2 linked regions of the Rattus norvegicus genome follow. The protein of the gene in region 1 interacts with the protein of each later gene in a pairwise test. Links are inferred from orthologs where the notes say so. Each region holds a gene or a part of one and is shown in the gene's direction. Other genes may lie near its edges. The genes, in order: Mybpc3 and Myh7.

Evidence for each region.
Region 2: the proteins of Mybpc3 (region 1) and Myh7 interact in a two-hybrid assay, tested with the Homo sapiens proteins (2 studies listed by IntAct). The link is inferred for Rattus norvegicus from reciprocal best matches to the Homo sapiens genes MYBPC3 and MYH7.

Annotation. Positions count from the first base shown.
Region 1 is NC_086021.1:97,548,635-97,556,179, forward strand, and holds the start of Mybpc3 (myosin-binding protein C, cardiac-type), read left to right. Parts: upstream 1-2,426; 5' UTR 2,427-2,456; coding exon 2,457-2,481; intron 2,482-3,462; coding exon 3,463-3,729; intron 3,730-4,287; coding exon 4,288-4,404; intron 4,405-4,484; coding exon 4,485-4,592; intron 4,593-4,678; coding exon 4,679-4,827; intron 4,828-5,155; coding exon 5,156-5,273; intron 5,274-5,654; coding exon 5,655-5,703; intron 5,704-5,859; coding exon 5,860-5,889; intron 5,890-5,971; coding exon 5,972-6,025; intron 6,026-6,785; coding exon of another isoform or gene 6,786-6,788; coding exon 6,789-6,800; intron 6,801-6,999; coding exon 7,000-7,163; intron 7,164-7,545. UniProt on the Homo sapiens protein: Thick filament-associated protein located in the crossbridge region of vertebrate striated muscle a bands. In vitro it binds MHC, F-actin and native thin filaments, and modifies the activity of actin-activated myosin ATPase.
Region 2 is NC_086033.1:32,420,882-32,427,884, reverse strand, and holds part of Myh7 (myosin-7), read left to right. Parts: intron 1-424; exon of another isoform or gene 425-458; coding exon 459-604; intron 605-2,153; coding exon 2,154-2,244; intron 2,245-2,948; coding exon 2,949-3,338; intron 3,339-3,514; coding exon 3,515-3,641; exon of another isoform or gene 3,642-3,805; coding exon 3,806-3,924; exon of another isoform or gene 3,925-4,041; intron 4,042-5,875; coding exon 5,876-6,072; intron 6,073-6,158; exon of another isoform or gene 6,159-6,270; intron 6,271-6,535; coding exon 6,536-6,719; intron 6,720-6,874; coding exon 6,875-7,003. UniProt on the Homo sapiens protein: Myosins are actin-based motor molecules with ATPase activity essential for muscle contraction. Forms regular bipolar thick filaments that, together with actin thin filaments, constitute the fundamental contractile unit of skeletal and cardiac muscle.

The DNA of each region.
Region 1 (7,545 bases):
CCATCACATCAGGCAGGGTAGAAGCTCCACTTATCTGAAAGAGGAAATGCTTCTGCAGGAGTGAAGTCCAATGCTCCTGGTGCCACCCAGCATGATTCTGGATGATTTGATTGTGAGCCTAGCCTTTACCAGCTGCAATCTTTCTAGCATGGACGCAAAGCATTCTTTTTTTTTTTTTTTTTTTTTTTTTTTTTTGGTTCTTTTTTTTCGGAGCTGGGGACCGAACCCAGGGCCTTGCGCTTCCTAGGTAAGCGCTCTACCACTGAGCTAAATCCCCAGCCCCGACGCAAAGCATTCTTAATGGAGACTCCATAGGCACGGCCTTCCCTTCGAAGCACTTTGCTCCCAGGAACTGCAGGCAAGGGACATCTGTAAACATCTTGTTTCATTTAGGTGATGTAGACAGAATGTAGGCAGGTGATGGCAGTCAGGGAGTGAGGGCATTTCCCAATGTCTGCACATCTCAGGAAACACAAACCCTAGGGATGTCACTGTCGGGAAAGATCCCTGCACACCTCCTGGCCACGCTGATGTTCCCTAGTCAGATTGCCGAGTCTCAAGAGAAGCCTGTGGATATGAGCTGCTGATAGCTCTGTGGTAGAGCCACAGTCTTTTTTTTTCTTAAGTATTTTAATTACATTTTAATTCATTTATTTTGTATGTATGTATGTGCACACATGTCATGGCATATATGTGGAGGTCAGAAGAAAACTTGTAGGAGTCAGTTCTCTCCTTCCACCAATGGATCCCCCAGGAGTTGAACTCAGGTCATCAGGCTTAGCAACACACACCTTTAGCAACTTGAGCCGTTTGTTTGTTTGTTTGTTTGTTTGGTTGGTTGGTTAGTTTTTTAGTGACTCTCAAGCCCCAGTTCTTTAAACATTAAAGAAAAAATATTTTGCCCACATGTATGTATGTGTGCCATGTGTGTGCCTGCAGTTTAGAAGAGGGGTGTCAGGTCCCCTGGAGCTGGAGTTACAGATGGTTGGAACCATGTGGGTGCTTGGAACGGAACCTGAGTTTTCTGCAAGAACAAGGGCTTTTAACCACTGAGCCATCCCACACCAGTTCTCTGAAAGACTCAGAGATAAGTATGTGGTGCATACCTGGAAGAGCAGCCCTTAGGTCGGGGCAGGAGGATTGTCATAAGTTTGAGATCAACCCGGATTACTAGTAATAGCTTCAGCACACACACACACACACACACACACACACACACACACACACACACACCACTCTCAAACACACACACACACGAACCACACACACAAATACACACACACTCACACGCACACACCACACACACATATACACACTCAGACTCACACACCACACACACACACACACACCACACTCTCAAACACGCACCACACACACAAATACACACACACACACCACTCTCAAACACACACACATGCACCACACACACAAATACACACACACACTCACACACACCACACACACATATACACAGACTCACACCACACACACACACACACACACACACACACACACATGACTTAGGAGCAGGTGATGTGACTTTAAAGTAACTAAAATTGGGTGGAAATCGTGGCTGATAAGTTCCTATTGAATGGAAGATGCTTATATATGGGCTTCCTCCCTTCTGGTGATAGGCTATCTATTCTACTAGTGTGGCTTGATGGGGATTCCCATCATTTCTTTTTCCCCCCTAACAGTGGATGAACCTGACGCATGAGGAGTATCAGGAGGGTCCAGTCACAGAACAAGAACAGTGGGGTGGGGTGGGGGCTGAGGGATTCAGGATCCTCCCCATTTATCTTCGGTTCATCCTCGTGACTTCAGTAAGAGCTCTCTCTGCTCCTGTCCTCCACTTTGGAGTACATTTAGAGATTCACCCCCATTCCCTCATCTGCAGGCTTGCCTAGCGCGTCCCTTGGTGGGACAGTAACTCCCAGCATTATTCCCTCCCTGCCCAAGCCTAGACCAAGCCCACCCAGGATTCCATGGTCCAAGGCCAGCCCATGCCCCTCATGGTGCAGTAACGTGTGCCAAAGCTCTGCCGATCAAAAGAACAATAGCAGCTAGCTAGCCCTGGACACCTTCGCCCCCAGCGCATGTGCCCTTGACCCTTTAGCTGTGGGTGTCACAGGCCAAGAGCCCCTCGACAGTATAGTTTTCCGCTGGGTGGATACACAAAGGTCGGCCTACCTCTGAGGTCCACGGAGGATTGGAAGGGCAGAAGTTATTCAGTCCTGCTGGAAGTGGGGGAGGAGAAGCCGGAGGACCAAGTGGCCCTATCTTCTCCATGAAGATACCTCAGCTGGATGGAATTTGTCTATATTTAGCAGGTGGCTAGCAGGAGGCTGATAAGCAGGGCTGGGGAGGGGGTAGTCCTCATAAATAGTGAGAACACGGGACACTGTTCAGTCCCTCCGTGGGTGGCCTGCTTGGTGCGCCGTGTGACTGTTCTCAAGATGCCTGAGCCAGGGAAGAGACCAGGTAGCTCCACAGAAGGGGTTGGGTCTGGACCTGGGGCAGTGGTGTGCATGGCTTGCGGGTAGGTTAGGTACTGGCATAGGATGAGGCCTGTGGGTTCCAGGAAGGGACAGGACAGCGGTCCTCTTTGGGCTGTGTCTGATTCTCTGCTTCTTTTCCCAACCCTCTAAAGAGGTTGAGGATTAAATTCAGTGTCAGGGCCACTGAGAGATGACTTTTCTAAGTTAGGAAGAATCCAGGGTCATTCTATTCGGACCTATGCTTTCTTTTTCAGTCAAATTCCAGAAGTTCCACGTAGGTTGCAGTGGAGGCAGTCCACTGAGTCCCTGAGCACCTTCTGGTCTCAGTTTCTGAATGTACTGAGTATGTGGGGGTAGTGATCCGTTCCAGCTCTGAGTGTCTGCCACATGAGCCGGAACCCCTAGGGTCCTCACATCATGCCTGACTCCAGATATGGGGTGACAGAGCCTCTCTTCTCTTGACTAGAACAGGCAAACGAAGGACAGAGAACCTGCAACCAAAGGCCTGAACCAGGCCCATACCCTTGCAGAGATCATGGGGGCAGGGATCCAGTCCCCAGGCCCTACCTCCAGCCCCCCTGCTGCTCCCAGGCTAGTGTTATCTCAATTGCTCATTCTTAGTGTGAAGCCCTCAGAGGACAAATTTAGCTATATTCCAAGTAGGCAGCTGGGGCCCTTGCCAAGGGTCCCACAATGGGAGAGGAGGCTGGGCCCATCGCTGATGTTCCTAGTCAGGAGGGTAGGAACATCTTGTGGGGTGGTAGGGACAACATCCTGAGCTCTATCATCTGTCACTTAACCTCTCCCTCACCTGAGAAATAAATATGGTTGCACCTACCCCATAGAACTCCTGGAGCATTAAACAAGAGGCTTGGAGTGTGCTTACCACAGTCTTCTTGAAGGAGGGTGTCAGGGGTCAGGTACCAGGGAGCCTGGCTCCTGCAATTTCCATCTGACTCTTCAGTGTCAGCCTTCACCAAGAAGCCCAGGTCAGTGGAGGTGACCGCAGGCAGTGCTGCTGTGTTCGAGGCTGAGACGGAGCGGTCAGGCCTGAAGGTGCAGTGGCAGCGGGATGGCAGTGATATCGCTGCCAATGACAAGTATGGTTTGGCAGCAGAGGGCAAACGACACACACTGACAGTGCGGGATGTGGGCCCTGACGATCAGGGTTCCTATGCGGTCATCGCAGGCTCCTCAAAGGTCAAGTTTGACCTTAAGGTCACAGAGCCAGGTAAGGGCTTGCTGACCTCTCCTCAGGGCCCAACCTGATCTTCAGTCATAGCCCTGAACAGGGAATGGACTCTGGGCACTGGCCTTTGCCCTGGCAGTGCTGTAAACCAGAAATGCCTGTTCCCCTCTTCTGCACCAAGATCTCTCTAAGCATTAGTTGTGGCTGCAGCTCTTTCTGCATTGTGGGGGTGGGAAACCATGAGCGGTGTTCTAGGAAGGGCCCTCTCCCATAGCAGACCCGGAGTCTGGCCACACCCAGACAAGGACTTGGCTAGCTGTATGTGTTGGTGAGGAGCTTGGTGGTGCTGGGGGTGCTGGGTCAAGGCCAAAGCCTGGAAAGGGACAGCAGATGGATCGCAGGGCTGTTCAGAGCAGAAATCTGGACATGGGACAGGTGGACTGTGAAGGTTGGAGGAGCAGCAGGCTAGCTCCTCTTCTTGGAGTGAGACCAGTGCCTGAAGGAGTCTGGGGCACAAGTGGAATGCATTTTAGGTGGGACATAGGTCTGATGTCCGAGAGGGGGGCTCTGATTAGAAACCGTTCCATGACCCCACCTAAGCCCCTCCAGAGAAGGCAGAGTCTGCAGTTGCTCCAACCTCTATGGAAGCTCCAGAAACTCCCAAAGAAGTTCCTGCTCTAGCCACTCAGTTGGAAGGAAATGTCTCAAGTCCTGAAGGTAAAGGGGACTGGACAATGAGGGACAGGCCAGTGGGTGGGGAATATCCCAGGACAGACCTCAAAAGCCTTCTTTCTTAGGGTCAGTCTCGGTAACCCAGGATGGCTCAGTCGCAGGGAGTCAGGGAGCCCCTGACGACCCTATTGGCCTCTTTCTGATGCGGCCACAGGATGGCGAGGTGACCGTGGGTAAGTGGGAGCTTCTGTGCTCATACTTGGGACGGGGAAGGAAGCCCCAGGGCAACAAGGTCAGAGAAGTCACCTTTCTCTTGCAGGCGGCAGCATCGTCTTCTCAGCCCGAGTGGCGGGAGCCAGCCTCCTGAAACCGCCTGTAGTCAAGTGGTTTAAGGGCAAGTGGGTGGACCTGAGCAGCAAGGTGGGCCAGCACCTGCAGCTGCACGACAGCTACGACAGAGCCAGCAAGGTGGGACACAGGGCACGGAACTATGGAGTACAGGATGTAGGGAGGCTAGAAGACTGGGAAGCAGGGCAGAGCTGCAATGGTCAGCCACACCAGCCGCACACTGCACAAAACAGCTCCTACGTGTAGCCATCTGCTTGGAATTTTATCGTGGCCATGCGCCAGCAAGAGCCCATCAAGGGTCTTGAAAGGTGGATCCTTTCTGTGAGTTATACAAAGGCTCTGTATGTGTTAGCCCTGAGAGGTGAGGCGGGCAGGCTTTGCCATGCCCATTCTCTCTAGAAATGCAGGGCCTCTCCTTGCCCAGACTTCCTCCATCCCCTGCCCACAGGTCTACTTGTTTGAGTTGCACATCACAGATGCGCAGGCCACTTCTGCTGGGGGCTACCGCTGTGAGGTGTCTACCAAGGACAAATTTGACAGCTGCAACTTCAACCTCACTGTACATGGTGAGAGAGGCCCTGGGATCTCATCAGTTCTTGTGGTCTTCATGGGTCCTGGTCTCTTGGGCTTGTCTCTGTCTCACAACTAAAGAGGGTGACTAGCTGTGGCCAGATGCCAGTGCTGATCACCTGAGGTGTGAAAGAAATCCATGAGTTCAGGAGCAAGCGTGGGAGCAAGTCGAGGGTGGGATGCCGGTATCAGTCATCCCAGCCTGACACAGTTTGGATGTGAACAGGGAGGTGAGTGGGAGGCAGCCCACTGTAGAGATGAGGGTGAGAAACTGCCCCACCTCTCTAAACATGAACCCTGGAAAAAGCTGAGAAGATGGAATCTTGTGCCCCCACCCCCTGAGGTCACCCCCATCACGTCACTCTCTTTGTACACAGAGGCCATTGGTTCTGGAGACCTGGACCTCAGATCAGCTTTCCGACGCACGTGAGTGGCTCTCTTTCCTCAGGAATAGGGGGAGGCCAGTGTCAGGGGCTAAGGCCCCTTTAAGTTTTAGATAGACACACGGTGGGGGGTCCAAGCTGAAGTCTGAGGGACAAAGGTGAACTCCTGGGTCCTTGAGGAGGCTGTCTAATTCCACAGGAGCCTGGCTGGAACGGGTCGGAGAACCAGGTACTCTTCTGTCCTCCCTCCGCCCCATCCCCTAAGCCCCGCTAGCTCTTCAGTGAAGCCTCATGGGGGTCTCTCTCCACAGTGACAGCCATGAAGATGCTGGGACTCTGGACTTTAGCTCCCTGCTGAAGAAGAGGTGAGTCCCTGGGTCACATTTTCCAGGGCAGGGAGTAAGACACAGCATTGGGGTTTCCAAGCTGTGTGACCCTGAACAAAATAAGGCACCTCTCTGAGTTGACTTCCTTACCAAGTGGGATGACCCCAGTGTGGACAGGAGTTATGTCTTAATAACATCCTCAGTGTACCCCTGAAGACCCCATATTGAATCTATAATAGATCATTTCCATAGATTCTGAGGGCTATAAGAAATAGGAAGAGGGTCCCCAAAGTTGTAGCAATAAGGACCTAGCCCAGCACCTGACTTTTTTTTCTGTCCTTTCTTCCCCTTTCTTCCCATCTGCCCTTCATGGCTGCTGCTGCTGCTCCTGCTCCTGCCCAGAGAGTAAGGAATGGGTTGGGAGGCTCTGGGTCTTGCAAGAGGATGTTAGCTTTGGGAATGTGAGCCCTTTCTGCTGGGTTTTGGTGAAACTCCAGAGTGACATTCTTGAGGCTTGGAGTGGCCTGGATACTCTGTCTGGTATTAAGAAGAATGAAATGGGGGCTGGGGATTTAGCTCAGTGGTAGAGCGCTTACCTAGGAAGCGCAAGGCCCTGGGTTCGGTCCCCAGCTCCGAAAAAAAGAAAAAAAAAAAAAAAAGAAGAATGAAATGATTGCCCTGAAAAGTAGGGGCACCGTATGGGAAAGAGGGAGCAATGAAGGCTCTGGGTAGGTCCCAGTCTTGGCAGGGCGGTGTCCAGACTTCTAATGTGTCCCTGTCCTTCTTTCCTCGTCTGGAGCAGCAGTTTCCGGAGGTGAGTACCCTACAATCTCAGAGCCCTCCTCTGCGCCCTCAGCCCAGAACCCTCCCTAGTTCAACCCCCAAGACTCCTAGACTGGGAGGGAGGACAGGGGAGGGGACAAAGGCAGGGCCTCATGTGTCCAGGAACCTCCCACCCCAGGAAGGGTCAAGGAGGGGTTGCCTTGAGCTTCCCAGTGGGCTGTGGGACACAGGGACTCAAAGCTAGAAGCACCCGCTGAAGAAGATGTGTGGGAGATCCTGAGACAGGCGCCACCGTCAGAATATGAGCGCATCGCCTTCCAGCACGGAGTCACAGACCTGCGAGGCATGCTGAAGAGGCTCAAGGGCATGAAGCACGATGAAAAGAAGAGCACAGGTTAGCCCTTCCCAGACATGGGAAAGGAGATGGCACCAGCTAGCTCCCAACAATGGAGCCGGGCTGGAAAGCACCATAGAAAAACCTGTAGTATGGGCAGAGGGCCAGACAAGGAGTAGTAAAGGGAACAGTTGACAGTTCAGCCAGGCAGTGTGTGTTTTCCATAATCACCCTGTTTAATTCTCCCAGCAGCACTGCCAAACGGAGTAGGCAGTTCACTTTCACAAGTGAGGAGACAGAGGCACAGAGACATGAAACTCACAGCCCCATGGCTGTCTCCAGGCCCAGCCTGAGTATCTGTGGGCTTCTGCACAGTCCTCCAGCTGCAGAACTGTTTTTACCAACATGGCTGCAAGGGGACGCATGGTTGTGACGTGGGCCT
Region 2 (7,003 bases), on another chromosome or scaffold:
AAATGTTAGACTCTTTGAGGAGAATCTTTGCAGAGTCTGGTCCTGAATGACCATTGTTCCCTCAAATGTGTAAACGTCCGTTGACTGCCTTACCATTCTGCTCTAATAACTCAGTATCTGTCTCAGTCGCAGGACTAAGAGCTCCCCCGAGATGGGCACTTGAGTTTACTCAGTTTTGTGTCTCCAGTACCCTGCACAGAGCCTGGAACCCATAGGTACTTACAGGATGCTGAATGAATGATTATGGCCTTGGAATCTTCTCCCACATTCATTCATTCACAAAATAATCCACTGAGCAAACCTTTCAGTCTGGACATTCTCATGGTTCCCTGGAAACATCGGTCCTTTCTAGGGAAGTGTCCAAAGTCCTGGATTCTCTAAGGATTTCCAAAATAGAGACAAAACTCAGGCTAGCATAGCCTACCTTGTGGTTCATAGCTGGCTCTTCTCTCTGCCAGCTGGAGGGATCCCTGGAGCAGGAGAAGAAGGTGCGCATGGACCTGGAGCGAGCAAAGCGGAAGCTGGAGGGTGACCTGAAGCTGACCCAGGAGAGCATCATGGACCTGGAGAACGACAAGCAGCAGTTGGATGAGCGACTCAAAAAGTACCGTGTTCCATACTGCCAGGGCCATTTATCCAGCCCAGCTCAGCTCACCCACCACAGTATAGGCTGAGCCAGGCAAGGGGCCATCCTAAGAGGCAATGGATGCTCAAACTGAGGGCAGAGCCTCCCTAACCCGCACATCAGATCCCAAGGTCCTCCCTAGCAAGGAGTCTCACTTGGATCTCTCAAGCACCTTGTCCCTGCTAGACCCCAGGGAGAGGTGAAAATAAAAACTTGCTTCCTTTGTGAGCACTCGGTCAGATAGGAGGAGAGGCTGCCCATAATTTCAAAGGAATCGCTCTGCTGTTCAAAAAAATGTAAGGGTTGGGTCATTTCTTTTTCTAGGTAGATTCTGGTTCCAATCTTTATTGCAAATCCTTCCCAAAGGTGCACACACAGACTTGAATAGTGAGCTGCAAAAACGTATTTTGATATTTGAGAATCTTATAGTACTTCAACTTGTATTTGCATAGGAGTCTTTACACGTCCCTAGGCACAGAGTTTGTTGAATGAATGAATGGATCACATAGATCACATATGGTCCTAATGGTTTTTCCACCTTCCTTTTTTTATATTTTATTTTTAATTGTGTTTGTGCATGTGTGTGTGTTTTAGTGCACACACATGTGAGTGCATCGCTCACAGAAGTCAGAAGAGGGCACCAGACGCCCCTAGAGCGGGCCTATCAGGCAGTTGTGAGCTGCACGGTGTGAGTGCTGAGAACCAATCTTGCTTCTTCTGGAAGAGTAGTTCTCTCACCTGCTCTCCTCAGCAGCCTCCTCAGAGTACTTACAAAGATGGTGTCTGCCATCCTATTTTATCACAGAGACAGCTAAGGCTCAAGAAGGTTAGGGAGTGGAAGGGAAGTGAGCATGCTCCAGGCACGTGATCGAGGTGTGAGACACCATCTTTATGAAGCCCAGCGCCATGCACAGTGAATACACACCAATTAAAAAAGAGAGAGAGAGATGACTGAGTTGCCTAAGCTAACAGTGACAAGTTAAAGACCACAGCACCAAAGAGAAAGAAAAAAGTGAAAAGGCCTTTGCAATAGTCTCATTACTTCACAGAGGAGAATACTTGGAATAAGAGGGAGAAGTCTGGGCTGGAGAGATGGCTCAGTAGTTAAGAGCACTGACTGTTCTTCCTAAAGGTCCTGAGTTTAAATCCCAGCAACCACATGGTGGCTCACAACCATCTATAATGAGATCTGGTGCCCTCCTCTGGTGTGTCTGAAGACAGCTACAGTATACCCACATATATTAAATACATAAATAACCACCCCCCCATTTTTTGTAAAAAAAAAAAAAGAGGAGAAAGCCCCACAGAGCCCCACTATGCTGCCCTGCTACAGGGTTTTTCATTGTATTTTTACTGGACTTGAACCTGACAGACAGCAGGTGTTACCCTTCCTTCAGGGTACCCATCCTAAATCACTCTTTAAAGTATTTTTTTGCCTGTACTCCATTGGTTTTATAATCTCTGACCTTCTGGTGGCTACTCCAAGTGCCTTCCTGACCTGCTACCCCTCGCTCTCTCTTCCTTACAGGAAGGACTTTGAGTTAAATGCACTCAACGCCAGGATTGAGGATGAGCAGGCCCTGGGCAGCCAGCTGCAGAAGAAGCTCAAAGAGCTTCAGGTAAGGCCAGGGGCTCTAGTTGAGTGTGGTGTCCCGGGCTGGCTCTCAGCTTCCCTGGATCCCCCTCCAGGGTATGATACTGGTGCATCACAGAACTGTGTACCTGTGAAAGGAGATACAATGAACAAGGCTTCCTACAGGGAGCCCCCCAATTGGGGCTTATATGATCCAAGGAAGACCCAGGAAGAGACCTTGGGGGCGGGGAGGGGGTGTCTAGGACGGCAGAACTCCTGGTTTCCAAGAGATTACGGAACCCCACTGCTGACCTCTGAGTCTCCCCACTCTGTCACCTGGTGACTTTAAAGGTCCCTTCAGTCTTTATGGTTCTTTCCTCCGTAGCAGGCATTGAATTAGGTCTTCAGCTATTTTCTCAAACAGATGTGGTTTTCTCAGTTACACGTTTGCTACTTTCCCCAGTAAACTGCTCTCAAAAACCCATGAGCACAGATTAGGTGTTTGTTTGTTTTTGTCCTTCTCTAAGAGATCTGCTTCCTTCTAATAAAGAGAATGTGCAGTGCTCAAGTCTAAAAGAAAGCTGACTGGCCTGTTCAAGACACTTCCCCACAAATCCTTTTATGTCTACTTTTCCAGTTATACATCAAACTTACTTGCTGTTCTCATAGGCCAGGGGTCTTTTAGAGCCCCAGAACGGGCCTCAATGGAGGGTCCAGGAAGCAGGTCTGAACCTCTGTGTCCCTGACTAGGCACGCATCGAGGAGCTGGAGGAGGAGCTGGAGGCTGAGCGCACAGCCCGGGCCAAGGTGGAGAAGCTGCGCTCAGACCTGTCCCGGGAGCTGGAGGAGATCAGTGAGAGGCTAGAGGAAGCCGGTGGGGCCACATCTGTGCAGATAGAGATGAACAAGAAGCGCGAGGCCGAGTTCCAGAAGATGCGGCGGGACCTAGAGGAGGCCACGCTGCAGCATGAGGCCACAGCTGCGGCCCTGCGCAAGAAACACGCGGACAGCGTGGCCGAGCTGGGCGAGCAGATAGACAATCTACAGCGGGTGAAGCAGAAGCTGGAGAAAGAGAAGAGCGAGTTCAAGCTGGAGCTGGATGACGTTACCTCCAACATGGAGCAGATCATCAAGGCCAAGGTGGGTCTTTTCAGCAGCTCCCTCCTCTGATCCCTCTGCTTCCGGTGTCGATCCTCTTTCTTCCTTGACGGCTCATCTGGGTGCTCCCTTACCGTCCATGGTTTTCTCTTTCATTGCAATCCTTACTCCATTTTAGTTCCTTCCTGAACCTACTCTGTAACTCCTTCCTCTCTCAGGCTAACCTGGAGAAGATGTGCCGGACCCTGGAGGACCAGATGAATGAACACCGGAGCAAGGCTGAGGAGACACAGCGTTCTGTCAATGACCTCACCAGCCAGCGGGCCAAGCTGCAGACAGAGAATGGTGAGTCCAGGGCTGGAGCTCCGTGACCCCCAACCTCCTGAGCATCCTGGCCTTGGGCGTACACGCTGCTCACGTGCCCGCAGCCTCTCCAGAGAAGGGAGCCTAAGGATTAGGGGCTGGGTTGAGGGTGAAGAGGGGCTGAAGGTACCTTGATGCCTCCCCAGGGGAGCTGTCCAGACAGCTGGATGAGAAGGAGGCTCTTATCTCTCAGCTGACCCGAGGCAAGCTCACGTATACCCAGCAGCTGGAGGACCTCAAGAGGCAGCTGGAGGAGGAGGTCAAGGTAAGGCCTGAACTCAGGGCCTGGCCCAAGCAGAGAATGCAACAATAGGCCTTGGATTCTGTCTGCATCTCTTTCTTCTCTAAGAGTGAGGCTTGCCTGGTCCAAATTCTCTACAAACTGTAAAAAAGAAGTAATAACCCAGCCTTTACAAGGTATCTTTTAAAATCTGTTCCCCAGGCTGACAGAGACCCTTTGCCCTCCTATTGCTGTGCAGGGGTGGGGTTGGAGGGTAAGGAGGCAGAGAAGTATCCAAGGTAGTGGTTCTCAACCTCTGGGTTGCAACCTTTTTGGGGTTGCATATTAGATACCATGCATATCAGACATTTACATTAAGAATTTAGAACAGCAGTAAATTATGAAGTAGCAATGAAAATAATTTTATGATTGAGGGGTCACCACAATATGAAGAACTGGATTAAAGGTCACAGCATTAGGAAGGTTGAGAACCACTGGTCTGAGATGTGTTTTGGCCTTCTTGGGTGCAGATACGGGGTGGAGGGGCTACACAAAAGGGTCCTAGAATTATGAGAGCAACCTGAAGCCTGGAGAAAGAAAGCCGGAACCTATCCCTAGCACAGTACTGAGTTTACGGTAAAGAGATGAGACCATGAGTTCTTAAAACTCACAGAGCGATGGCTAGGGACATAGCTCAGTCAGTGAAGTGCTTGCCACAGGAGCATGATGGTGTTTGGGCCCAATTTCCAACACTTGTGATCCCAGCACTGAGATGGCAGAGACAGGCGTATAGCTTGTCTTTACTACTTTGTGGATTCTTTTTCCTCCTACCCTTCTCTTCCACCCTTCCAACCATCTAACACTGAATAAGAAAGAAAAAAAGGATAGAAAGGAAAGGAAAGAGATCCCTGAATAAAGTCAGAAGTTGGAAAGGGAGCAACTACTTCCTGCTGATTAAGGGTGTTGAGTTTGAGTTGATTGGGGCAAGTTTGATTTTCACCATCGGGATCTCTAATTATTATTTCTTCTTCTTCTTCTTCTTCTTCTTCTTCTTCTTCTTCTTCTTCTTCTTCTTCTTCTTCTTCTTCCTCTTCTTCTTCTTCCTCTTCCTCTTCCTCCTCCTCTTCTTCCTCTTCTTCTTCCTCCTCCTCTTCCTCCTCCTCCTCCTCCTCTTCTTCCTCCTCCTCCTCCTCCTCTTCCTCTTCCTCCGCCTCCTCCTCTTCCTCTTCCTCCTCCTCCCCTCTTCTTTGCACATGACTACTTAACAAACCATGACCAACAGCAACCAACATCCAACACTGTCTCTCTGGGCCCTACCATTTATATACCCTCTGAAAAGTACCTAGAATTCCAAATGCTGCACAGTTGCAGAAAGTACCCGCAGCTGGAAAAATCACACCCCTGCCAGAGCACGAGCCAAACCACAGTCAGCTGCTGTGGACAATCTGAAGTAACCCCACAGCCCCACACCTGGGATTAAAACAAACACACATTCTAATATTTCTGTGTTCTTTTAAGAAGCCAAAATTCTAAAATTATCACTACACAGGAAGATCTCTTGAACTGACTGGCAGCCAGCCTAGCCAAGGTGGTGATCCTTAAATCTCAGCGACAGACTTTGTCTCAAAAAATATGGTAGACAGTGTCTGTGAAATGATACCCATGGCTGACTTCAGAGCTCCCTACACATGTACAAACCCCCAAAACTACCTCTTTTAGTGTGGTGATATAAGGAAAACTTCCTGGTGTCTCTGTTTGCACCTGTAACTGCACTGGGGGAGCAAATCTGCTGCAAGGAGCCTCGGGCAGTGGGCACAAGAGCATTGTAAACAGTGCCGCACTGCTTTGTTGTGTAGGGTCCTCCTTGCTCAGCAAACCACACCAGGTTCACTGGAGAGCTGGAGGTAGAAGTGGCCAAGGGAGCATGCTGGGCCTGGGGTAAGGGGATGGCAGAGGAGAAAGCTGATCCACTTCCTCGATGCCCACCTCTTCCCAGGCCAAGAATGCCCTGGCCCACGCACTGCAGTCAGCCCGGCATGATTGCGACCTGCTGCGGGAACAGTATGAGGAGGAAACAGAAGCCAAGGCTGAGCTGCAGCGTGTCCTGTCCAAGGCCAACTCAGAGGTGGCCCAGTGGAGGACCAAGTATGAGACGGACGCCATACAGAGGACGGAGGAGCTGGAGGAAGCCAAGTGAGTCCTGGGTACCCAGCTCTGGCTGAGGCTCCTTTGCAGCCCGATCTGATGCTCAGTAGTCCACACGTAGGGGACTCTTAGGCACCCCCACCTCCTGCTCCTCTCAGGGAAGCTTTTTGCTCGCGTTATGTTTCTCATCCGAATATAAGACGAACAAAAGGTTTGTCTGAGGGCTGAGTGCACCCACCTGGGGTACGGTGCTATAGGGAACGGGGCTGATCCAGCCAAGAAGGATCAGGCTCATGGCCCTCATAGGTGCTTTATGTCTCCATTCTCAGCTACTGAGATTTGCCTGCTAAGTGCCCAGCCTCTGAAGCCTGACCTTAGGCTTTTCTGAGTGCTTCTAGGTGGTCGAGGATAGTCTTTTGGAAGTCACATGTTTTCCTCTTGTCCAAACCTACCTCCTCCATTCTCCCCATCCCTCTCTTCCTGGCCACCCTCCCTACTTCCCCTGCTGCAGGAAGAAGCTGGCTCAGAGGCTTCAGGATGCTGAGGAGGCAGTGGAGGCCGTCAACGCCAAGTGCTCCTCGCTGGAGAAGACCAAGCACAGGCTGCAGAACGAGATCGAGGACCTGATGGTGGATGTGGAGCGCTCCAATGCGGCCGCCGCAGCCCTGGACAAGAAGCAGAGGAACTTCGACAAGGTGGGCCCACGGTGGGGCTGCGGACGCTATCCACACCCGCAGTGGGGTCAGTGCCAGCTCAAGGCCAGAGCATGCTCCTTAGAGGCAGGGGAGCAGGGCTGAGTCAGGAGAGGGGCCTGGAGCAGCTCTGGACACAGGGTGCTCTGTCCCCACAGATCCTGGCTGAGTGGAAGCAGAAGTATGAGGAGTCCCAGTCAGAGCTGGAGTCTTCCCAGAAGGAGGCGCGCTCCCTGAGCACAGAGCTCTTCAAGCTCAAGAATGCCTATGAGGAGTCTCTGGAGCAC